Linked DNA regions of Neurospora crassa OR74A. Each later gene encodes a partner of the first gene's protein in a complex. Links are inferred from orthologs where the notes say so. Each region holds a gene or a part of one and is shown on either strand. Other genes may lie near its edges. The genes, in order: NCU07683, NCU01601, NCU09512, NCU03085 and NCU03766.

Region 1 (4,260 bases):
AAAGTCATACTTCTTGGTAGACGAACGGAAGAGATCCTAGAACGTATCCGCTCGCGAACTTCTGTAGAACCTGTCATTTATTTTCTATGTTTCCATTCTGACTGACATCTTTACACATGCTGACACCCGTTACCAAGATCAGAACAATGAGCCAAAGTTATTTCCAGTCATCTTCTACTCCGAGCTGACCGGCATTTATGTTATTAAGGTTATATAGACGGGAAGCCAATATGAACTTTGGTTACAATTGAGGAACAATCTTGTCTTTATGTCATTTACATATCACAGTGAAATCCTCTTTCCCCCTTGTTTCTACCAGGTCTTGTTCTCGACTATAATGAACACGGCCAGGGCGCGTTGTCAAAACCAACTGAGCCATCGAAAAAGAAGGTTTGTGTAGGGCGTTCTACATGTCATTAAATCAACGGTCCAATATGCGAGAAATCCTCAAACTGTGACACTTACCGTTACTCTGAGGGGCGCGAGTTCACTAGGACACTGGGCTCAGAGAAGACAGGAGACACGGCAGATAATGAGATAAACAGCAAAATCAGTGAAGAGCAGGATGCGTTTCCTTGTTAGATCCCACTTATTACAAGGCTCAACAAATCCCTTCGAAACGATACATATGATAGTGCTATAGCCTCAAGTTCCAAACTATCTTTATCAGTCCACTGTTCAACAAGAGCTGCAATAAGGACTGGCGGGTGACTTTTTGGCAATGAATTACTACAGTCTGCTAGTACCATAACACGCACTCTACCTACGACAAATATACACTAGATATGGAGGTAAAGTCTAATGTCTCATTAGTGTCCGAGACTTCTTATTCAACTTTTAAATGTTGGAGGTCAATTAGTCCGGCTATCATTTTCTATATTCAACTCGGGAGCCTCAACTAAGCTTAAGCGTCGTTTGATAGGAACTCTCCTCAAGGGATATGGCAAACTGATTCAACATAGGCGCTTGACATGCCCATGAGTTACAGAAGACTGCGGGGAGTTCTAACTTTGAGCTCCAGCTATAGGGCGCAAAGCGCAAACACTGCATTACTCATTCAGGGCGTGTGGCTCAGTTGGTAGAGCGTTCGCTTAGCATGTTTCACAGCATGCGAAAGGTCCTGGGTTCGATTCCCAGCTCGTCCACTCTTTTTGACTCGATGTCTCTTTGCTCCCGCACTTTTCTTGAAATTACTTGGATCTGGATAACAGTATTTCCAATTGCAGTGAGAACCCGTTTTTTTTTTACTTACTGCTACTCTGAAGCTTTAGATAACAAATATACGTGGGATATTATTCCTTTTTGGCTGTCCCACCTTTTCTGTACACTAAGTATAGTGTATCTCGGGTTGCCGGTTGGCTACAGTCGAACCCCCTGAAACTGCATGTAATCCAGACCGCCAAAATCCATGCACTAAATGGCGTATATGCAGTTTCTGGAGGCGGGGCTTGGGCAAAAATGGCGGATTCAGACCTGGAAATTCTATGCACTAACTAGCATATATGCAGAATCTGGAGTATGCAGTTTCAGGGGGTTCGACTGTATTTGATTTTCGGCTCCCAGATATCCTGGTAAACCATGTCATTGCTCCACGCTACATTTGTTACTCCATAAGCTGTTGCGGCCGGCAAGCTCCAGCTACGCCACGGCGCCAGGACAGGCTTCCCGTCGCGGGCGCACTTCCCTTTGGTCACTACATCCAACACGTCAACTTCTCCTTTTGGTCTCCGTCGCAACAACAATAGGCAGCCTAACTAACGGCTGTCGATTTCCAAACTCACTACTATGGTACGTCGAATTCTCATTGCATATAGCGTCACTTCGGTATCCCTCTTGGAAATGTACTAACCTTTTGCTCCCTCGCAACAAACAGCTACCGTTAGGCATCCTCACCGCGGCGCAAGGCCATCCCATGCTCGTTGAGCTCAAGAACGGCGAAACGCTCAACGGCCACTTGATCCAATGCGATACATGGATGAATCTGACGCTAAGGGAGGTTGTTCAGACCAGCCCGGTTAGTGCTACCTCCTACCTCCGTCCCTCCGTCCCTTCGTTCGAGCGATGATGCACAGTGATGATGATGATGATGAGCGAGTGGATGAAACAAGCAATCCAACACGTCGAAGAGAATGTCGGGGACAAGGCAGCTTACCAACGAACTTTACATGACGTAATAGGAAGGCGATAAGTTTGTGAGGTTACCAGAGGTTTACGTCAAGGGAAACAACGTAAGTCTCGACATTGTCCCCTCCCCCTCCTTTTCTCTCTCTTCTTGCCTCTTGCCAGGAAAGGAGTCAACGATCAATCGACCAGCGGTTTCTAATGGTTATGGGGACAAACAGATCAAATATCTTCGAGTACCGGACGACGTGATCGACATTGCAAGGGAGCAGCAACACAGTCAACACGGTGGACACAGAGGCGGCCGCGGCGGCGGACAGAACAGAGGCGATTATGGCGGCCGTGGCGGCCGTGGCGGACGAGGAGGGGGCGACAGAGGTGGTCACAGGGGAGGCCGCGGCCGTGGCAGGGGCGCATGAGGTGGAATTCCATGTTCTTGGGACAGCGAGCGAGGCGCAACGACCACCCAACGTAGGGAAGTACGGCCTTTTGATAATGATACGATCGATGAACGAGAGGCGCGAGGGGCCGCCGCGATTGTGCGTAGGGGTGAGAGGAAAGGGATGGAGAGCATCAGCCAAGAAAGAAACATGGGCTGCATCTTGCACGGTCCGAATGGGCTTTCACACAAAACCCAGGCGGGGTTGAATGGGGCACGAAGACCATCTCCAGCGACAGACATGCATGATGGTTCATGGGCAGTCATCGTGTGGGCTTTTTGGAAGAGGCCTGGCTCGGACACATAGACCGGACTAGGTGTTCGATGCATCAGCATGGAATTTACGGCACGAAGGATATGACTATTTTAAAGCAAAAGATACCCAAGCTTGAAGTTCCTGGTTGATTTTCTCTTGCACCTAACACAAAAGGCACATTGTATCGCATTATCGTCATTTGAGAGATTCTTTTCCGTTATCAACAAGCATTGAAAGGATTACAAAACTGGCGGCGTCCTGAGACCTCCATGTCACACAAAAATGATGCACTTCGCGGGCGACTTGTTGCAGCTTTTGAGGCAACGAAATAATTGCCCATGGCAAGGAAACAGGTGGTACGGAGCGGCTACAACTATGGAAGGAGTTACTCCAAAAAAAAAAAAAAAAAAAAAAAAAAAAAAGAAGAAAAAGAAGAAAGAAGGAAGAAAAAAAAAGAAATTAGAGGAAAAAACTCAAAAGTTGAGGTCGTACCCGGAATCGAACCGGGGTTGCCGGAATGTTCTGAAGGAAATCAGAATCCGGAGTGATAACCGCTACACTATACAACCTTGTGAGTTGTTTTAGTTGATTTGTTCACTCGCCTGATTCTCTTATAATGACCACTACCAGATTCTAGCAAGCCATTGAACTAGTTATATAATCTCCATTCCGATGCTTTTGAGTATTTCAGTAATTCTTCTTTTTTTTTTCTCTTTTTTCTTTTCTTTATCAAGCTGCAGATGCGCTCGATGTTTTGAGATCGCCAGCATCCAAAGCCTCTTCATACGCTGGACGCACGGCGCCCATCATCGTGGTCTCTTCTTGCACTCTTTGATCCGACACAACTGTCTCCTTTGGCATCTCGGCAAGCAACTTCTTGATCTCAATCTCGAGGTCGATCTTCCTCTCCCTGGCCACATCAACAACTGCCCACGCTCTGGGATCCATCTCGTTAAAGCAGCGCTTGAGCAGCTGGACCAAAGTCGGGTGACTGATCCACATGCGCCTCGAAGAATTCCTCGCCAAGGGCGCTAGCTCCATTTGCGCCAGGTAGTTGAAGGCGGTGTTGAGGTCGCCATCCACAATCGAGCACCTCACAAAGTCTTCGTACATGTCCCGCGTGGGCTTGAGCGTGTACATCAGCATCTCCGACTCTAGCTCCTGCGCCGTCTGAGCCGTCTGCGCCTTCTGCAGGAGAATTTGGAAGGTGCGTAGGTCTGGTCCCGACGAGCAGAGATGCAGGAGGTCGCGGTACATGCCGAATGCCTTGTCAACTGTTGGTCCTTCCTCGCAGACGGCTTCAAGCACCACATTTAAAGCCGCGATGGGGATTTTGTAGCCCGCCGCCTTCAAATTTTCCATCATCTCTTTGACGCCGTCCAGCAGTTCGGGCGACCGTCTGAACAGAAGAAAGATGGACCGCGTGCTGGCGGCCCCCGGAGAA
Region 2 (4,071 bases), on another chromosome or scaffold:
CCTTCTCCTTGTTGAGCCGGTATTTTTTCGAAGTGATGATGTTGATCAGTCGGTCGCGGAGGGTCGAGGCAAGCGCCTTGTGTTCTCTGTTCGCAAGCTCCGTCTTATAGGCATGCGTATTGAGGTATTCGGCGATCTTCTTCTCGTAGTCAAACTGCGGAACCAAGAGTCAGCATTGGCACTTTGACTGGCGGAGCGTTGAACGGTTATGATCGGGAGACGTACTTTAAATTTGGTGAGAGCATAATCGCGTTGCTCTGCAAGATCCTGTACGTTCTCCATCCACTTGGCAAATTTGGGGCCAGCCATGTCAAGGAGGGATCGTGGACCACCGTCGGAGTCGGCGCCATTGAGCTGGTTGAGTCGTCTCTGATCCTCTTCGAAGCTGTCCAAAGGTCGATCGACATAGGGGTCGACTCGCATGACCAGACTGGTGTCAATCTGAATCTTTTGTAGTTGTTCGCGAAAGGCCTGGTCTCTGTCCTTGCTCCATTTGTCGGAAAGGGTTGCAATGCGTTCGGCAAGCATTTGGCGTCGCTTGTCTCTCTTAGACTGTGACTGTGACTGACCGGGAGGAGGAGAAGCGTTGGAGCGGCGATCAGGCCGCCCGGAAGGTGCGTCGGCCATGGTAACGTCGGTAGAAGCCATGGCGAAAGGGGGGTCCTCGTAAATATGTTTCTTGGTTGCCTGCTTTTTTATTGTATCCGGACCAGGTAAGACCAGGCGAGGCAAACCTCAAGGCGAGGCTGGTGGGCGGAAAAAAGAGAGCCCCAGTGCAGAGATTTGAGGCTAGAGGACGAGTAAGTCAAAGTCGACTGGACGACGGGAAGAGAGCTGCCCTCGTCCGCCGATGGACGGGCGCGCAGAATGGTTACAGCGCAAGGGCGAGAGAAAAGGAACGGCTTCTGGTGGTCGAAGCGGGTTTGGACATAGTCCTCATGGGATCTTTTGTGTATAATTGTCGACAGCGAGGGTACGTATGGTGCAGATGGAGAAATATGGAGTGGCAGAATGAAATGGGGTTGACAGCAGGTTGAGCCGAAGCAGAAGGACCGGAGAATGCAGTGCGGCACTACCTAGGTAGGTACAGGCAAACCAGCACAGGGAGGTCAGTGCAGGTCCCGTCGGCTCATTGTCCGGCCACCGGGTTGAATAATACTGTAGGTTGCTGCACAGCGCTTGGTTTCACCTTGCCCTGGCAGTGTTTACTGACTAGACATACAGTCCGGTGATCATGGAAGCTCCACCGCACAGGCGCTGTACCTAAGCGAGAGCAGTCTGCCGCAGGAAGCAGCGATAGGTTTGTATGAGCCGAGCTGATTGCTGAAGTGGATAAAGCTGAGATTCGCTCCGTCTTGTGGCTCAACCTGCGATGTGGCTGACTTGTATCATGTACATATACGCAAATTGCCTGCCGGAAGGAAGCTGGAATCATCCACTAAAAGCTTATGGCAGGAGCCGTGTAAGTAGAGTGGTAAAAAGATCTGTGCGACTCGGGCTGTCCTTCAAGGAACACACTTCTCGTCGCTGCCTCTCACCGTGAAAGTGGGGTGAACTGCACAAACAGCGGAGCAAGCCCAGGGCAGCCCAGGGCAGCAGCTATGTACTAAGGTAGGTATGTACGCAGTAGGTAGGTAGTAGTATGTGCGGGCAGGCAACGTCAGGGCGGGCAGCTGTCCCATCGCATCATTGCATCCCGCTTCCCATTCAACAACCTTGAAGACACCCCCCGAAACTTTACAGATGGACTAGAAGACATAGGCCATCTTCAGCACACAACCATGGAACACCTCTCGATAAACGATCAACCCCCACCGCCGCCCTTCCCTCAGGGCCCCGGCCAGCCTGGACCCGGCATGCCCCCGCCGGGACTCCTAGGAGGCGGCCGTCCTCCCCAGCCCCAGCAGTTGCCCGCGCAAATGTTCACCACAGCTGCCCAACTCCTCGACCTGACCGATAGTAAGAAGCAATATTGTGGACATATCTTTTGGACGGGAGGAACTAGGCTGACACGAGCGGCGGGGTACCAACAGAGAAGCTAATGGTAGCATTGCGCGACGGACGAAAGCTCACGGGCATCCTCCGCAGTTGGGATCAGTTTGGTATGCCTCCATGAACCTACCTCTCTCTTACAACACATGACCACCTATACACGCACGCACGAACGAGCACGAGTATGAAGAGGTAGCTGTGTTAACGCGAATCCACTTTTTTCCCACCATACTAGCCAACCTAGTACTACAACAGACAAAGGAGAGGATATTCGTGCCTCCAGGCACGCAGTCACCCACCCAGACCAGGGGGCTCTACGCCGACGTCGACCGGGGCCTCTTCGTTGTTCGCGGCGAGAACGTTCTCCTCATGGGCGAGATCGACCTTGACCGCGACGACGACCCGCCCCCGGGCTACGACCCTGCCGACCTCGAACTGGTGCAGACACTAGCCAAGCAGAAAAAGGCCGAGGAGAAGGCCAAGGAGAAGCGCAAGATCAAGAAGCTTTCCACCATTGGCTTCGAAGGGGAGAACGTAGGCGAGGCGCTTCTGTGAATGATATATGAATCACCCTCAAATTTTACAAATGGGACGGAAAGAAAGAGACGGGAGGAGAGACGACCAAAACTTTAACTTGTTATGATTTATACCTACATACCCCTGAAGTGGAAAGGGAGTGTCGAAGGAGGGAATGGCATGAGCGATTGGAAGCAGAATATTGTGAAATGCTATCCACTCAGCTGCGACTTCATACGAATGGAAGACCGCATGAAGCCTTACACCAAGGTCGGCCCAAGAAGACACCAAGTGTATTTTACCGTTAGAAAATTAGCAATTCGATGGATTGCCTCGAATCGAACCTGGCCACTACTGACTATGATCATGTTGGGAAAGGATAGCCCAGAGAGATATCCACGACTAACATTCTTTCCTAGGACTAGTCACATAGCCGGCACAAACCCATCGACTTCAACATCCTCCCACCCACCCGCCATCATCGATAACTACGCCGAGCTCGGGAAATGAGGCGTTGGCACTCATGACCAACCAACCGATTACCCAGCATCATCAAACTGAAAGATGATATGCAGCAAGTACTCAACCACCTGCTGCGGGGGTTGCGTTCCACATGCCAACAAAGGGGGGGTTGAACTTGTTTCGGTCGGAATAGGGAAATCCAATGTACCTCACGTTGATCCACTGAGGGTTCTGTATAAGCCGCTGGGAGATGTCGTTGTGGGCTGGGTTGGGCTGGCTGTAGGCCATCACTAGGTCTTTCGTAAGTCCACCACTATAAATCTGTGAAGTCGTCCATGAATGTATGGTTGGGCGTGGTGGGTAAACTGAAGTTGTACCAGCCCCATGTCGAGGGCGTGGCGTAGGGCTTGAAGGTCTGCAAACGCAAGAAAGAAGAAGGAGGGTAAGATGCCACAATTCCGGGTGCAAGCTCACTTGGGCTATCTCACGGTCATTGTCCTAGGCAAACCTTTATGATATACTTATCGGCGCAGTTTCAACTTGCTTGGGGCAAGTTACTTAATCTTGGCGGGCCCTTCTCCTCATCCTCATCTAATCGGGCACCACCCTAGGGCAAATCATGGATCGTCGACATGGTGAAGCCATTATTGGCCTGTCCACCCGATTGTCTGGGGGAAAGTGAGGGGAATAGCTGTCCGGGAGAAGGTAAAGTTGGACACATAAAAGACATTTAGCTATTTCTCATTGTCTCCGGTCGCCGTTGTCCCCAAGGTCGTTGATTGCGGGGTGCATTGGCGTCGTTGTGAACGAAGAAGCTCGGTGGGAGAACCTCGAGATGAATCTTCCACCATCCCGGTGCAACATGTGTTTTCAAACATGAACGATGGACCACCCAACGACAGCTGTACGGATAGTCCCGCACAAAGGAAGCCTCGGAGATGAACAGCCCCATGGGTAAGAGGAGTTGTTTGCCATGTGCGTGGCTGCTCTAGCGAGACCGGGAGTGCCGTCCACCCGCGATTCGAAACGTCCCATGCTCCACCGGATGGAGGCTGTGTGGAGATGTGTTTATGGAGAGAATCCATATCCAAACGGATCCTT
Region 3 (4,269 bases), on another chromosome or scaffold:
TCGTTCCTCAACATCTTGCCGCACCATGGACGGTACGACGCCGACGCGCCTTTCGAGTTTCATGTCAATGACACTTTTAGCGTCCCCCACGTCGGCACGGTCGTCTCGGGAATCGTCAAGTCGGGGGTCATCCATGCGGGTGATGAGGTTTACCTGGGGCCGGATGGCTTGGGCAAGTTCACGACCACGGCCATCAGGTCGATTGAGCGGAAGAGGATAGGCGTCCCGGCGGCGAGCGCGGGACAGTCAGCCAGCTTCGCGTTGAAGAGGGTCAAGAGAAAGGACGTTCGTAAGGGAATGGTGGTGCTCTCCAAGACTGAAAGTGGACCGCCGAAGGTGTATCGGGAGTTCATTGCTGAAGGTAAGTAAACACAGCGCTTCCTTTTGTCTTTACTTTCCTCTGCCCCTTGGTGCCATTCAAAAAATTCTGTATGTATCCTAACGTGCACTAGTCCTCATCCTCTCCCACGCAACCACCATCAAAACCAAATACCAGGCCATGCTTCATGTCGGCCCCGTCTCCCAGACATGCGCCATCATCGACGTTGATCGTCCGTTTATCAGGACCGGCGATCGGGCTACCGTCGCGTTTCGGTTTGTCCAGAGACCCGAATACCTAGTCCCGGGAGACAGACTTCTCTTCAGAGAAGGCAGAACCAAGGGGTTGGGTATCGTCAAGAGTGTGGGGTATGATCCTGAACGGCCGTTGGGCGGGGTTAATGTAGGTGAAGGGGGTGATAAGGTGGCTGCGGGCGTTGAAGATGTCAAACATGAGGGTGGCGGTAACGAGGTGAAGGTTGGTGCTTAGTGACCTGGCACCTGGTGCTGATTTGGCGTTGGGCAGATGATGTTGTGATGACCCAAGTTGGGGGCCGCGTTACCTTTTTTTCTTTATACTTTCTTTGATGCATGGCCTCATCTCCTCGTTTTGATGGCTCATATACGGAGCGGCGCAGTCAGGGCACAGTACAGAACTAGTGGTGACCCACTACTTGCAGATATTCAAGTAGTAGTAGGAGTAGTAGTAGTAGTAGTATCATGGACGATATGGCTTTTGTATGTGTCGGTGGAAGATGAGTGACCTACAGGTATTCTCAAATGAACATATGAAAATTCTTGAGCAACGTACTGTATTCTTTGTACGAGCGATCCTTTTCAGCCTCCTCAGGAGGAAGGAGATTGCCTGGCTATCAATGCTCCATGGCCGGGAATAACAATGGTATATCTGTGCCGTGATCTATCTTTCGGCTCTAACGACAAACGATGAACGTGATGTGATGACGGTGATAGTCACATCTCAAGCCAACTTCTCTCCTTGTATCTCTCTCCTATCCTCTTCCCGAAGCTTGGTTACCGGTTTCCTTTGTAAGCGCCGCCCCTCTCGACCTTGAGGTAGCCACCACCTAGGTAGGTAGGCTTAGCGACGACCCATGTCCAACTCCCACTGAGACAAACCTTCGGCTGCTGACTGTCCAGAACCCTCCGCCGTTGCCGTTTCCTTTCCCTTCTCTTCCAAATGCTCCTCCTCTTCCCTATCTACCCCCTCCCAAAACTGCGCCTCATCCGCCACGTGCAATAAGTTCCACCTGCCGATGGGCAACCGGTCCTGGCCAAGCGGGCCACCGGAGAAGGGTTTGATGCCGTAGCGGTGGCGGAAATCGTGCTCGTCAACTGGTCGCTCCACATACACGGCCTCTTCTCAAGAACGGGTAAAGGGCGAGATGAGCACGACGGAATCGCCGCGAACGAAGAGCATTTCGGACTTGCGGGAGATGGTCTGCCTTTTTGTTAGTATATGAGAGTGACGGAAAGGGAAAGCAAAAAAGACAAACGAGGTATGAGAAGGAAAGGGGAAGGAGGGTGGGTATAATGGGAAAGGGGTGAGAGGTGGTTTGACGAGAGAGTGGCGGTGGGTAAGTGAAAAGATGGCATACCTTCAGGTCATCCTCCTCGGTATCTTCATCATCCACGACGTAAATGGTCTCTTCGACTTCCCCGAGGACAAGGTTGCAATGGGAGTCGTAGGCCTACATCACAGTATCCGAGTTAGCAATGAGTTCGGGTGGTGGTGAGTGAGGCGTAACGGGAAAGATGTGACGACTGAAAAGGGGATATGTAAACATAAGAGTGGACTTACGTGCAGACGGCCCTTGAGCTCCCGATCACCTCTCAGCTTGACGCAGACAACCTCGTCAAGCAAAAGGCGGACGAGGTCCATGGGCTCGGAAACAGAGCCGGCATCTTCTACTGCGTCGGCCATTTTGTGTGATGTGTGATATCAAAAGAGCCAAAAATAAATAACGAGTGAAGAGAGAGAAAAAAAAATGAAGTTGGCGTTGTGTTCCTGTTGTTGATGGCGGGGACCTCAGCTGCAGCGCCCTGGAACGATGATGAGTGAGTCCAGTGCCAGTGACGGACGGCGGGGGGTTTCCATGCCTGCCCGATTGGAAGCGCTCGCTTCGGTGCGAATTGAGGTCAGTGCCAGCTGGTCGCATGCCAAGAGCAACTGAAGCAGCCCGACGCACTGACCGCTTCCGAAGTGGAAGCTTGACCGGTTCTTAAACGCTTATGCCAGAGCTTCGGCTGGGCAAGGTCTTGGCAGGAACAGGCGCCCAAAGTGACAACAGGCCTTCCCCGGATTTGCAAAGGCGGGCATCGCGAGATCCATCGCACTTCTCCTCTTTGAGTTAGCGGGGTTGACTTACACCTCGACTTCAGTTAGTACCTAGGCACGCCCACCAGGGCACTCAGCTCCCCTTCAACACCACGGCCGAGCTTCAATTGCGGACGAAAGTCGCCAATGGGGGTGGTGTACAACGCCGTCAACCCCAATTTGCAACCCAATGGCTGCCCTTCTCTCCTGTCGTGGGGTTCGAGTTCCTTCTCCGAAATCTCGACGACTAGCCTCCGCCGTCAACAAGCTCCAGAAGCTCCCCCATTCTACGACCCAAACAGCAAAACCCATCTCAGCAATTCCATACCCAGGCAACTTTGCCCACCATGGATTCGGTCACCAACTTGACGGACCTCGACAGCCCCTCGAGCAAGATGAGCTCCTCCTCCTCCGAACCCTTCTCGCAAGACCCGTCGTCGCAAAGAAGCCACCTGTGACAAAACGGTCGCCTTGGATAGACGGCTTCACCGCGGCCTTCAGACAACCCCACAAAATGCTCACTTATTTCAAGGAGAACAAACTCGAGATCCTTCAACTTCCACCAACAGCATTCAGCGAACTTCTCCGCTCCGTTGACCCCGTCGAAGCCGTTCACAAAGACCAAGATCCGTTAGGAGACATATGGGTCGACCCAGCCATGGCCGATTGGTCCCCTTTGGGGGCTCTGGTCAATAATTACGGCGTCAGAAAAAGAAACACCGACCTTTACCCCCTAGTTCACGAAGCTGCCTTTCGTCGATTCCGCTCGGGTTCTCCCCTTCTTTTGTCCGACTACAAAGTCCTGCTGCGATGCGCCGGATCGATTTCGGACCCCCTCTTGGCTCGCAAGATCTGGTTCCACATGAACGTCTCTGAAAAGATGTGGGAGCGCCAGACGGACCTGTATGCCGAATTTCTCAAGGCCCGGTTCTTGACGGAACCGTTGTATACCCAACACAACCGGCATGACTTCCGCGTCAAGCCTGTAAACCTCTTTCCCGAGCAGCGGTTTCTGCCGTACTTCACGCCTGACAACTTGTCTCAGCTGCGACAGATGAACTTTGACAAGACCAACAAGCGGCTGGACAGGTTTGGGCAGAATCCTGGCGCAGAGCACAAGGTGGATTATCTGATGAGGATGTTACGGCGGACTTCACCCGTCGATCTCGTCTTTGGCACCGCGCGAAACCGGTTACATCTACTGTCAGAAGAGTTCGTCTGCGCTGCTCTCATCGCCTACGCCAGGACAGGGGTAATGGAAGACGTACAGTCCGTTCTATACTTTAACTACAAGATTGATGTCTCTGGCTCCATCGAAACCGGCGACTTGAAGATCACCGGCGGGCGGCGAGACTTTCTGCCTGGCTCGCCCATGGCTCCTACCACCCGTCTTTTGCAGACAATCGCCACCTGTTATGGGTCGAACGGCATGATAGCCATGGCGTGCAAGATGCTCGACCACGTTTCTGCCGTGTACCGCCTTTCGATTCCCCCATCAGTCTGGTTCGAACTGCTTGAATGGGCCTACATTCACACCTCTCCTCGGGCGGCAAAAGAGTGGAAGATCGTTTCGATCCCCGGCCGCCGACTACACCGCAACGCAGTTCAACTAATCT
Region 4 (4,666 bases), on another chromosome or scaffold:
TACGTTTGACCTGACCACCGCCCCAGCAACCTCATCTTTCCCCCGCCGACACCTGGCGCTCTCTATTCAGCGACGAAGAGCCCCAGGGTGAAAAAGTCGAGCCTCCTTCGTACTCCAAGTACTTCACCCCAAGCAAGGCTCCAGCGCACAAGGAGATTCTCCGTGTCCTGAAGGAATCGCCCGAGAACACCGTCACCGTCGTTGCCGTTGGTCCCCTGACAAACGTGGCGCTGGCCGCTGCTGAGGACCCCGAAACCTTCCTGCGCGCCAAGGAGCTGGTTGTCATGGGTGGTGCCGTAAACGTCGAGGGCAACGTGACCCCCGTCGCCGAGTTCAACTGCTTCGCCGATACCGTTGCCGCCGCCCGCGTCTACGCCCTGACCTCGCCCAACCCGAGCTCGACCATGCCCCCTGTCATCCACGGCAAATCTTTTTTGCCCCCTTACCCCGCCAAGCTTTCCAAGCAGCTTAAGCTGACCCTTTTCCCTCTTGATATCACCACCCCGCTCGAGCTGAGGAAAAAGTACTTCTACGAGACCATCCAGCCGATCACCAAGTCCGGCAGCCCGCTTGCGCTGTGGATCGAGACCTTCATGACAGGCATCTTCAACAAAGTCGAAGCCATGCTTGGCGACGGCAGTGAGCCCGGTCTGTCCCTCCATGACCCGGCATGCATTTGGTACATGTTGACCCAGGATGACCCCGCATGGGAACCCGTGGCGAAGCCGGAAGATATTAGAATTGAGACCTCCGGCCAATGGACCAGGGGCATGCATGTCATCGACAGACGACAGAGGGCGAAGCCGGGTGAGCAGTCAAGCAAGGTGGAGACGCATCCGTCGGATCCTCTGGATGCGACCACCTTTGACGATGTCCCCGGAGACGACATGGGCTGGCTAAGCGTGAACAAGGGAAACAGAATTAACAGGATGGTCAAGACCCCCGGCGACGAGAAGTTTGCCGCCATCTTGATGGATAGACTCTTTGGTTGAACCTGCCGGCAGCACTTGTTGATTTTCTTCTTCTTTTGTATATAGAAAGCGAATCTATTCCACGCGGAGTTTTTGAGATCTGGGGTATCTGAAATCAATATTCGCTGGGTTCCTTAAACCGAGAGCTGGACCTGCCCGTGACACCTTGTTTTATTTTTTCTTCGTCGGTCAGCATAAGTCTTAACGGGGAAGTAAGAGGGGAAGAAAGATCGTCGATTGGGCATACCAATGTAGTAAAAGAAAACCTGTAGCTCCGCGTGTCAAATGCTAATGATGCAACCAAATCTTGTGTGCCACGCACATTATCCACCGGTGTTGTCCTTTATGTCAACTGCCCGCGACCGCCACACCGTTCGACTTTTGTCTTTTTTCCCCTTGGTTTCCTTCTCCTGCCTCCTCTTCTTGGTTTTGAGGGAGCGTGACACCATGCTTCACGCGCTCAGGTATAGCGCAGAAACGGTTCAATGGTTCGGTGGTATATTCTAGTGCTTTGTCGTCCCAATCGTAGCCCCCTTGACTTTGGTCCAGTCTATGCTCTCGTCCAGCGGCTCATCAACCAACCCAACCAGGCAGACCGTGTCCCCGCGAATCATGTGCGTTCCCAGCTCGATCTCGGCCGAGGGCTCGTCATCATCGGGGGAGCGAATGACTCGTTCAACTGCTCTTTGTAGGAACTAGTTTGTTGGAGGGTTAGTTGTCGTTCGCGATATGCTTTGTTTTGTTTATCAGGTGGCAGAGGAACTGTATCGAAGTATGGATTGGGAGGGAGCATATACTGACCACATTCGTGCTCATGTCTACCGAGATCAGTGTGCCTACTAAGGTGCGGCCATCGACTGTAATTATGCAAACCTTTTCTAAAGTAACGAAAGATGGATCTGTTAGCTTTCTGGTCTTGCGAATATCCTTTAACTTTGGGATGCCGTGACCAATTGATCTTGTGACCGAAGCAATGGAGGAAAGAGGAAGAGGGGTCGAAAAAGCCGAAGGGCTCAGGTAGAAGGGTAGACCAACTGTTGAGGTACGAATTTACCAAGCCCGCCGACATGGTGACGGATGAGTAGATGCTATTACTGTAGTCTTTGTGTGTTTTCTCGTACCGGCAATGCGCGGGCCCAAGACCGCGGTGATAAGCAAAGTATCACGTAAAGCCCACGGTCTAACTTGAAGAGTATTGATTCAAGCGAAACACGTGGTTGCAGACAGAAAGTCGTCGGTTCAACTCGAGGGCAATTTGTTCGCTTCGTGTGATCTTGGTAAGCCCGGCCGGATGGGGTCGTTTGGTCGTTCGTCGCTTCGAATGGGGCAATTGGTTCGTGGTTATTGATGTTTTCGTTTCTCGTTGACCGATCGCGAAAGAGGAATACAACCTGGTCGGCGCGCCGCGTCAAAGAAGAATAGTGGGTACGTAATGCTGGCGGGGAGGGATGTGGTTAAATCGTGGGGATGGGACAAGAACGTCGCCGTTGAAGCTGGAGCTTCTCTTGTTCTTCCGTAGAATCGCCAAGCCCAGATCACTGACGACGGCTCACGGCAGACAACGTACCAGCACTGTGGTGAAGGCTGGAGCTTCTGAAGCGGATCCATTCTCCACTCAATTGCCTGCCGCAAAAGCGACGCTCACCCATCAGCTTGCCCCTTTTCATTCGGGAGGGTTGCTTTGTTTACTTTTATCCGCTTTGGGGTGTCAATGCAGCCCTCAACTGTTTTCGGTTGCTGCTTGAATAATTGCCTTCATCATCGTATGGTCTACCATCAGAAATGCAGAGCTTTCTCCTCCTGGAGCTTCTCGTCGCTGACTTGCGGCAGTCTCAAAGAGCCCTATGAAATTCTGTGGAAGCTTATACGTATAGCAGGGCCAAGATGCGGATGTCAACGTCCACCATGGCTTGAAGGACTTCCATGAGACCATTCAAGCCCATTGAACCTGCCGTTCCCGTGACTCGGAAAGTTTGAACATGTCAATAATCCGAATACCGGCAGAGGTTGTGGTGTCTCCAGTCAGAACAGCCTAGGTAGAACCGAATGCGGAGGGAGATACAGACGCGAACCCCGCAGTAGGAGCCCCGCCCTACTGTGTATCTCTTGGACGAAGGCAGGGGACGAACATCTCCCGAAGGTGTACCAAATTGGCCAGCAATTGAACTTGTTCACCCAACGCAGCCAGTACATTTCCTCGCCATCTGCCGTCAGGTTATTACAGTTGACCTCGAGTATGTGGCGGCGGGACCTTGGTTCGGAGCTGCACATCAACTTTGAAATCATAGTGTGTACTGTGTGTTATCGGATTTGCTTTAAAAGAGTTCGGGTTGACTTAGTCCGAGCTTCCACCTGCATCCCCACTGACTTGGCATGCCTTTCCTCCCCTTCGTACGTTAAAACTCCTGAAGCATCATATCTCTTCACTGAACAAAGTCGTTCACGTCACTCCGCTTCACCAACTCCGTACAATGTCTTCCGGTAACCCAACTTCCAAGATGCTGGCGGCCAATTCGTTGAAGCAAATCTTCACCCAGGAAAGCCGCCCTGCTATGGGTGTCTGGCAGATGCTACCCGGGGCCAATATCTCGAGGATTCTCGCTCGATCGGGGGCTGACTGGGTAATGGTTGACTGCGAGCATGGAAACATCGACGGTAGGTAACCCGTAATACGGTGGTGAATGATGGGGCTTGTTGAGCTGAATGATATTGGTCAGATGCTGCGATGCACGAAGCAGTTCCGGCCATTGCTGCCCTGGGCGTTTCTCCTATTGTCCGGATCCCAGACCTTCAGCCATCGATGGTCAAGCGTGAGTGCCATTCGTATTGCCTTATCACTCAGACGGTTACTGATGTACCCTTTACAGGAGCGTTGGATAGTGGTGCGCATGGAGTGAGTGTATAAGAGTATCCTGTGTTGGAGACATTTTTCTGACGTGCTCCAGATCCTTGCGCCGCTCATCAGGACTGTTGAGGATGTCAAAAACTTGGTTACCGCGGCAAAGTTCCCACCCGAAGGCAAGAGAGGGTTTGGATCACCCATCGCTATGCAAAACTTCAACCCCATGCCAACCTTCACCGAATACCTCCAGCAAGCGAACGAGAGTCTCTTGACCATGGTGCAGATCGAGACACAGGAAGCCTTGGACTGTGTTGAAGAGATAGCTCCGCTTGTGGATGTCATCTTTATTGGTCCTTTTGACTTGGGTAACAATATCGGCCACCCGATTATCGAGGGAAAGATGGATCCGGAGCTAGATGAGGCTATTGACAGGATCCTGAAGGCTGCCGTAACGGCAGGCAAAAAGTGCGGCATCTTCTGCACAGGCGGAGAGCAGGCCAAGCAGTATGCCGACAAGGGATTCCATATGATCAGTGTCGCAACGGATTACACTTTGTTGGGAGCTGCCATGGCGGACAGCCTAAGCATTGCACGGGGCCAAGGGAAGCAGGACAAGCCGGCATCGTATTAATGAGAATGAGGCCCTGGTATCGACGCACACGAGTGCCAATAATAGGATAGCCTCTCTCATGACTCTTCGACTTGATTCATTTTAGCTTCAACCTGCTCGACCGTGAAGCGGTGCATCAACTTGACGGCCTTGGAGGAGAGTTGGGGGTCTTCTTCTGGGGCTTGAGCCTTGCTGATGTGAATCTGTCAAGGTGTCACTGGGTGTTAACTTCCACCTAAGGTT
Region 5 (3,911 bases), on another chromosome or scaffold:
TGATTTGCTTGAGTAACGGAGAAGCAAGCTCATCCTTCCTCGGATAGAGCGAAATGTGAAAGATTCCAATACGCTTCTCCGAAGCAATCTGGATAACCGACACGTTTTGCCTCGGGCCGTGGCTCTCCTTTGCGCTGATTTCCCATTCCAAGTCAAGACCGAGAATCTTCTCATCCATGAAGTACTGCTTCAAGACCCTCTCAGTGGTGGTCGCACTTCTGCAGTAATGGACCTTGACCTTCTCGTTCATGTTTCCATCCTTGTCGGGCCCACGATAGAGGTTGTAAGTCCAGTAAGACTTTGGAGTGCCCTCGGCCGCCTTCTTCGCCTCCTTGAAGAGATCCTCGGACATGGTGAAGCTGAGTGGTGTAAACGGAGGCTTGAGAGAAGCATCCTCATCTTTCGACTCAACGTTCCCATCCTCGAGTATGAGTTGGAACTGTTCCTCCAGCCCTTCCTGTGCATCAACAAACTCCTGCCCCTGGGAGTCTAACGTCGTTCCATTCGCGTCAGGATTTCCCTGAGGTACACCTGTGGAGTTGAAGACACCATCGTGGTTGGGCGGAAGAACAGGTTCCGGGTTTGAGGCTGCTGACACCGCAGAGTCGCTGTGATATCTTGCCAAAGATGGCAGTTGCGGGTATCCAACGCTGCCGCGACTATCGCCAGCAAACGTAATGCCCCGGCTTGAATTCCACGTCTGATCTTTCCTCTCCATGGCGCCAAGATGTCTTGATTTGTGTAAAACCCTGGTCAGCCAAAAATATACGGAGAAGTAGTAAGGACCTGGAAGAGCCAGTGAACCTACACTGGATAACGGGATGTGGAAGGAACCGAGGATGAGGGCGAAGAAGCAAAGAAACGCCGCCGGCATTGCCTCAGAGTCAAGCTGGTGGTGCTGTTTACGGCGTTGGCACCGGCGCCGATGGCTTGTGGTATAGGGTGCGGGGACCTCATTATAGCGATGGATGGCAAGCGCAGATCACAAAGTTGCCGAGTGCGTGGGAGGTATGCGTGGTAGAGGTAGGTAGGTAGTAAGTAATGTTGCAGGTTGTCAAGGCCCAGAGAACTGCGCCATGACCTGTCGATTCGTTTGAATGCTGACAGAGGGGAACGAGACGAAAAGGTGTTTGGTGGTTTCAGGGCACTGATATGAATGTTGGTTCGGTCAAAGTGGGGGAACCAAGAGAAGAAGTCGGAGACGGAGTGGACGTTGAAACTTCAAGTTGAACAAATATTGGACCGAGAAATACCTTGTCACGGGCAACGTTGGCTGCTGGCAGGCAGAAACGCGAACGTATTTGGTTGCCTCCGAATACTGAAATCACAAACGAACTGTTTGCTTTGTTCACAAGGAAGGGTCGATGTGAACTAATTGATTCGGTTGCCACTGCAACAGCAGCGCTGTCACGACGTCCAGCCGCTGCCGAGTTGCTGCTGCTGAAGCCTAGGTAGATACCCCGTTTATTCTCATATGCATGGGTACAAGCATAAGCTGCGCCAAGAACGAATCCGAGTCCACGCTGATACTGTGGGAATTACTGATCTTTTTTCACTGTACAACAGCTTAGTACGTACGCCCTGTCGCCTTGTTGGCCTCACAATCGAAGCTCAGTGAACAGCCACTGAACGTCCCTTTCGACATCCAGACTTACCTAAAGACTCGACCATTCCACACCACATACAACATGGCCTCGCAATTACTTCCTCTCGGTGAGTGAGAGAGCTCATGCTGGGCACCACTACTTAGGTATCCAAGAATAAGACAGCTAACGTGGTTTTTTTCCCCAGAGCTCATCGACAAGTGTGTTGGTTCCCGCATCTGGGTTGTCATGAAGGGAGACAAGGGCACGTTATGCCATCCTAGCTGTCCCTGCTGGATTTTGACTTATCGATGGATGTGCTGACTGATGATGGAATGAAAACAGAGTTCGCTGGCACTCTTGTTGGTTTCGATGACTACGTTAGTAAGTAGCGGGCCTCTCCTCACCATCCCCTGTCTTCATATCGTCCCACGGAGCCTTATGCTAACTCACTTTCAAATAGACATGGTTTTGGAGGACGTCACTGAGTTGTACGACGCGTCCTACTCTGGAAGTAGTTCATGAAGGACATTACTAACTTCACTCCTGCTCGATCAGCGACTACTCCGGCAACCACACCAAGTTGAAGAAGATCCTGTTGAACGGCAACAACATCTGCATGGTGGGTCATCATCGTCATCAAAGCTCGCGTTTACAAACAACTAACAGCTGTGCTCAGTTGATTCCCGGTGGTGAAGGCCCAATTGCGGCATCTGCCTGATTTGAAGGCTTGAGAGGATACATGAGGCATGGCCGCGTTAGGAAGAAGCAATCATCATCAGCATATCACGAAATACGAATGGACGTTTCTTTGCCCTCTGTCGGTCACTTCAAGAAGAAGTCAATAATAATAGGTAATTCAGACTGATTCCAAAACACCTCCAAGGAAATTGCTGCCATACACAGCTCACATGAGGTAGGTTGAACTATAATCCTCCATCATATTTCATACTGTTTGTTTGACCCGACTTGACCAAAAAAAATTATCTTAGGCTAGCACGATCAGCAGTTCCTCTTAACCTTAACCAAGCGCTTTTGGATCACCTCTTCAATTGAGAAACAAAGCAAGAAAATGGCTGCCTGTTGTTGCAACTCACCTGATCTAGGAGCACCAGCAACATTGAATATCCAAACCCACCCCACCACCCAACCAGCCGTCCTTGCTCTCTTCCACAACCCATAACTACCAAACCAACATTCAACCACCACCACACTTCAAATAGCCTTAGCATCCAAAATCTTGCTCTTACTCTCCTTCGCCTTGACCAGCTCCTCCACCCACTTGTCCACCTCCGCCAACGCCCTTCTGGGGTCCTTCTTGCGCCTCAACAGAAAGCCCTGGATCTCCGCCGGACTGAGGATCTGGGATGCCGGGATTCTCAGGGAAAACTCCCTGGCGATCTTTTGGAGTTCTTGTCTAGTTAGGGGGGTAATGTGGAGAGGGACGGGACTTTCCGTCTTTTCTTCTGCTGGTTCTTGTTGTTTCCCCTTGTCTTTGGCTGTCGCCGCGGCGGCGGCGGTGATGATGGGAACAAGAGGAGGAGCAGCGGCGTTGTCCTCTTCGCCAATGACGGTTGCGTCACTAGAGCAACTGCTGATGGAGGACTTGCGGAGGTTGTTGTCGTCGAGGAGTTTGAGATCAACGATCTTGGGGTCTATGGGGGGCTGTTGTTGTTTTTCTTCATCCTTCTCAGCGGTGGTGCCGGTGCCTGTGCCGGTGCCATCCGGGGACGCAACCCCCGTGTGAGGAGAATGACCGACTGGAGGCAATGTAGTAGCTGCCGATGTGGTGCTAGCTGTGACCTTATTCCCAACCTGGGTAAATGTCACTGTGGCTGGGTTCACCACATCGGCTTCGTACATCCTCTCAAATAGCTCCCTGACTTGTTCCTGCGTGGCGTTGAGGAAAGCAATCTGGATGTCGACCCTGCCCGGTCGAAGTAGTGCTTCGTCTAGCTTCTCTGGCTTGTTGGTTGTCATGATGAGCACGCGGCCTTCATGCGAGGCAACGCCGTCGATGGCGTTGAGTAAACCTGATAGCGAAATGCCCCGTTCTCGGTCATACGGAGACGGCCGTCTGCGACCGTACTGTCTCCGGACCAAGTCCAGGTTATGAAGTGTAGTGGCAGCGAACGTCTTCGACATCCTTTTCCTCTTCTGCTTTTTCTTGTGCTTCTTCTCTTTGGCCGTCATGGGCTTCTTCTTCTTGTCAGTAGTGCTGCTAGATTCTTGTTTCGTTATTTTCTCTCCAGTTTCTCTGGCATCATCTGCAGAAGAGGTGGGCTTCTCTTCGCCCTCAGGGGCAGCAGGTTTCTGTTTCTCCTTTTC

What was found.
Region 2: the proteins of NCU07683 (region 1) and NCU01601 are in contact, whole or in part, in a crystal structure (PDB 4M75), measured with the Saccharomyces cerevisiae proteins. The link is inferred for Neurospora crassa OR74A from reciprocal best matches to the Saccharomyces cerevisiae genes LSM4 and LSM1. Residues at the interface, in NP_011037.3 of Saccharomyces cerevisiae: Met1, Leu2, Pro3, Leu6, Glu18, Lys20, Trp35, Met36, Gly73, Thr74, Ile76, Lys77, Phe78, Ile79, Lys80, Leu81, Gln82, Asp83, Ile85, Ile86; in NP_012411.1 of Saccharomyces cerevisiae: Val47, Val50, Asp51, Leu58, Asp60, Arg62, Arg69, Thr70, Phe71, Asp72, Asn76, Ile78, Gln80, Arg99, Gly100, Ile101, Phe102, Met103, Ile104, Arg105, Glu107, Asn108, Ser169.
Region 3: NCU07683 (region 1) and NCU09512 share a complex: the UniProt entries of both Saccharomyces cerevisiae proteins name them as parts of the spliceosome U4/U6-U5 tri-snRNP complex. The link is inferred for Neurospora crassa OR74A from reciprocal best matches to the Saccharomyces cerevisiae genes LSM4 and LSM3.
Region 4: the proteins of NCU07683 (region 1) and NCU03085 are in contact, whole or in part, in a crystal structure (PDB 4M77), measured with the Saccharomyces cerevisiae proteins. The link is inferred for Neurospora crassa OR74A from reciprocal best matches to the Saccharomyces cerevisiae genes LSM4 and LSM8. Residues at the interface, in NP_011037.3 of Saccharomyces cerevisiae: Met1, Leu2, Pro3, Leu6, Leu7, Lys20, Trp35, Met36, Gly73, Thr74, Ile76, Lys77, Phe78, Ile79, Lys80, Leu81, Gln82, Asp83, Ile85; in NP_012556.2 of Saccharomyces cerevisiae: Asn28, Gly29, Phe30, Asp31, Asn35, Phe37, Ile50, Lys52, Ala53, Gln54, Leu55, Leu56, Arg57, Ser59, Glu60.
Region 5: NCU07683 (region 1) and NCU03766 share a complex: the UniProt entries of both Saccharomyces cerevisiae proteins name them as parts of the spliceosome U4/U6-U5 tri-snRNP complex. The link is inferred for Neurospora crassa OR74A from reciprocal best matches to the Saccharomyces cerevisiae genes LSM4 and LSM5.

What each region holds. Positions count from the first base shown.
Region 1 is NC_026504.1:2,247,027-2,251,286, reverse strand, and holds NCU07683 (small nuclear ribonucleoprotein), read left to right. Parts: upstream 1-1,594; 5' UTR 1,595-1,785; coding exon 1,786-1,788; intron 1,789-1,873; coding exon 1,874-2,014; intron 2,015-2,177; coding exon 2,178-2,228; intron 2,229-2,342; coding exon 2,343-2,540; 3' UTR 2,541-3,129; downstream 3,130-4,260. Other genes in the region: NCU07684 (hypothetical protein), read right to left, coding at 3,546-4,260. UniProt on the Saccharomyces cerevisiae protein: Component of LSm protein complexes, which are involved in RNA processing and may function in a chaperone-like manner. Component of the cytoplasmic LSM1-LSM7 complex which is involved in mRNA degradation by activating the decapping step.
Region 2 is NC_026502.1:2,980,264-2,984,334, reverse strand, and holds NCU01601 (hypothetical protein), read left to right. Parts: upstream 1-1,517; 5' UTR 1,518-1,781; coding exon 1,782-1,959; intron 1,960-2,033; coding exon 2,034-2,102; intron 2,103-2,227; coding exon 2,228-2,547; 3' UTR 2,548-2,851; downstream 2,852-4,071. Other genes in the region: NCU01599 (hypothetical protein), read right to left, coding at 1-154, 226-648. UniProt on the Saccharomyces cerevisiae protein: Component of the cytoplasmic LSM1-LSM7 complex which is involved in mRNA degradation by activating the decapping step.
Region 3 is NC_026503.1:54,969-59,237, forward strand, and holds NCU09512 (U6 small nuclear ribonucleoprotein), read right to left. Parts: upstream 2,425-4,269; 5' UTR 2,261-2,424; coding exon 2,138-2,260; intron 2,028-2,137; coding exon 1,935-2,027; intron 1,778-1,934; coding exon 1,700-1,777; 3' UTR 1,114-1,699; downstream 1-1,113. Other genes in the region: NCU09513 (GTP-binding protein 1), read left to right, coding at 1-361, 453-808; NCU09511 (hypothetical protein), read left to right, coding at 2,844-4,269. UniProt on the Saccharomyces cerevisiae protein: Component of LSm protein complexes, which are involved in RNA processing and may function in a chaperone-like manner. Component of the cytoplasmic LSM1-LSM7 complex which is involved in mRNA degradation by activating the decapping step.
Region 4 is NC_026501.1:4,492,683-4,497,348, forward strand, and holds NCU03085 (small nuclear ribonucleoprotein Lsm8), read right to left. Parts: upstream 2,521-4,666; 5' UTR 2,041-2,520; coding exon 2,007-2,040; intron 1,850-2,006; coding exon 1,773-1,849; intron 1,667-1,772; coding exon 1,475-1,666; 3' UTR 993-1,474; downstream 1-992. Other genes in the region: NCU03084 (inosine-uridine preferring nucleoside hydrolase, variant), read left to right, coding at 27-992; NCU03086 (HpcH/HpaI aldolase/citrate lyase family protein), read left to right, coding at 3,443-3,626, 3,689-3,781, 3,839-3,864, 3,917-4,444; NCU16385 (glutaredoxin domain-containing protein), read right to left, coding at 4,501-4,626. UniProt on the Saccharomyces cerevisiae protein: Component of the nuclear LSM2-LSM8 complex, which is involved in spliceosome assembly. The LSM2-LSM8 complex plays a role in the biogenesis of the spliceosomal U4/U6-U5 tri-snRNP complex by accelerating PRP24-mediated annealing of U4/U6 di-snRNA.
Region 5 is NC_026505.1:2,344,849-2,348,759, forward strand, and holds NCU03766 (small nuclear ribonucleoprotein), read left to right. Parts: upstream 1-1,574; 5' UTR 1,575-1,688; coding exon 1,689-1,713; intron 1,714-1,791; coding exon 1,792-1,848; intron 1,849-1,928; coding exon 1,929-1,967; intron 1,968-2,046; coding exon 2,047-2,074; intron 2,075-2,141; coding exon 2,142-2,205; intron 2,206-2,262; coding exon 2,263-2,304; 3' UTR 2,305-2,499; intron 2,500-2,575; 3' UTR 2,576-2,784; downstream 2,785-3,911. Other genes in the region: NCU03765 (3'-5' exonuclease/helicase), read right to left, coding at 1-731, 809-957; NCU03767 (mitochondrial chaperone bcs1), read right to left, coding at 2,799-3,911. UniProt on the Saccharomyces cerevisiae protein: Component of LSm protein complexes, which are involved in RNA processing and may function in a chaperone-like manner. Component of the cytoplasmic LSM1-LSM7 complex which is involved in mRNA degradation by activating the decapping step.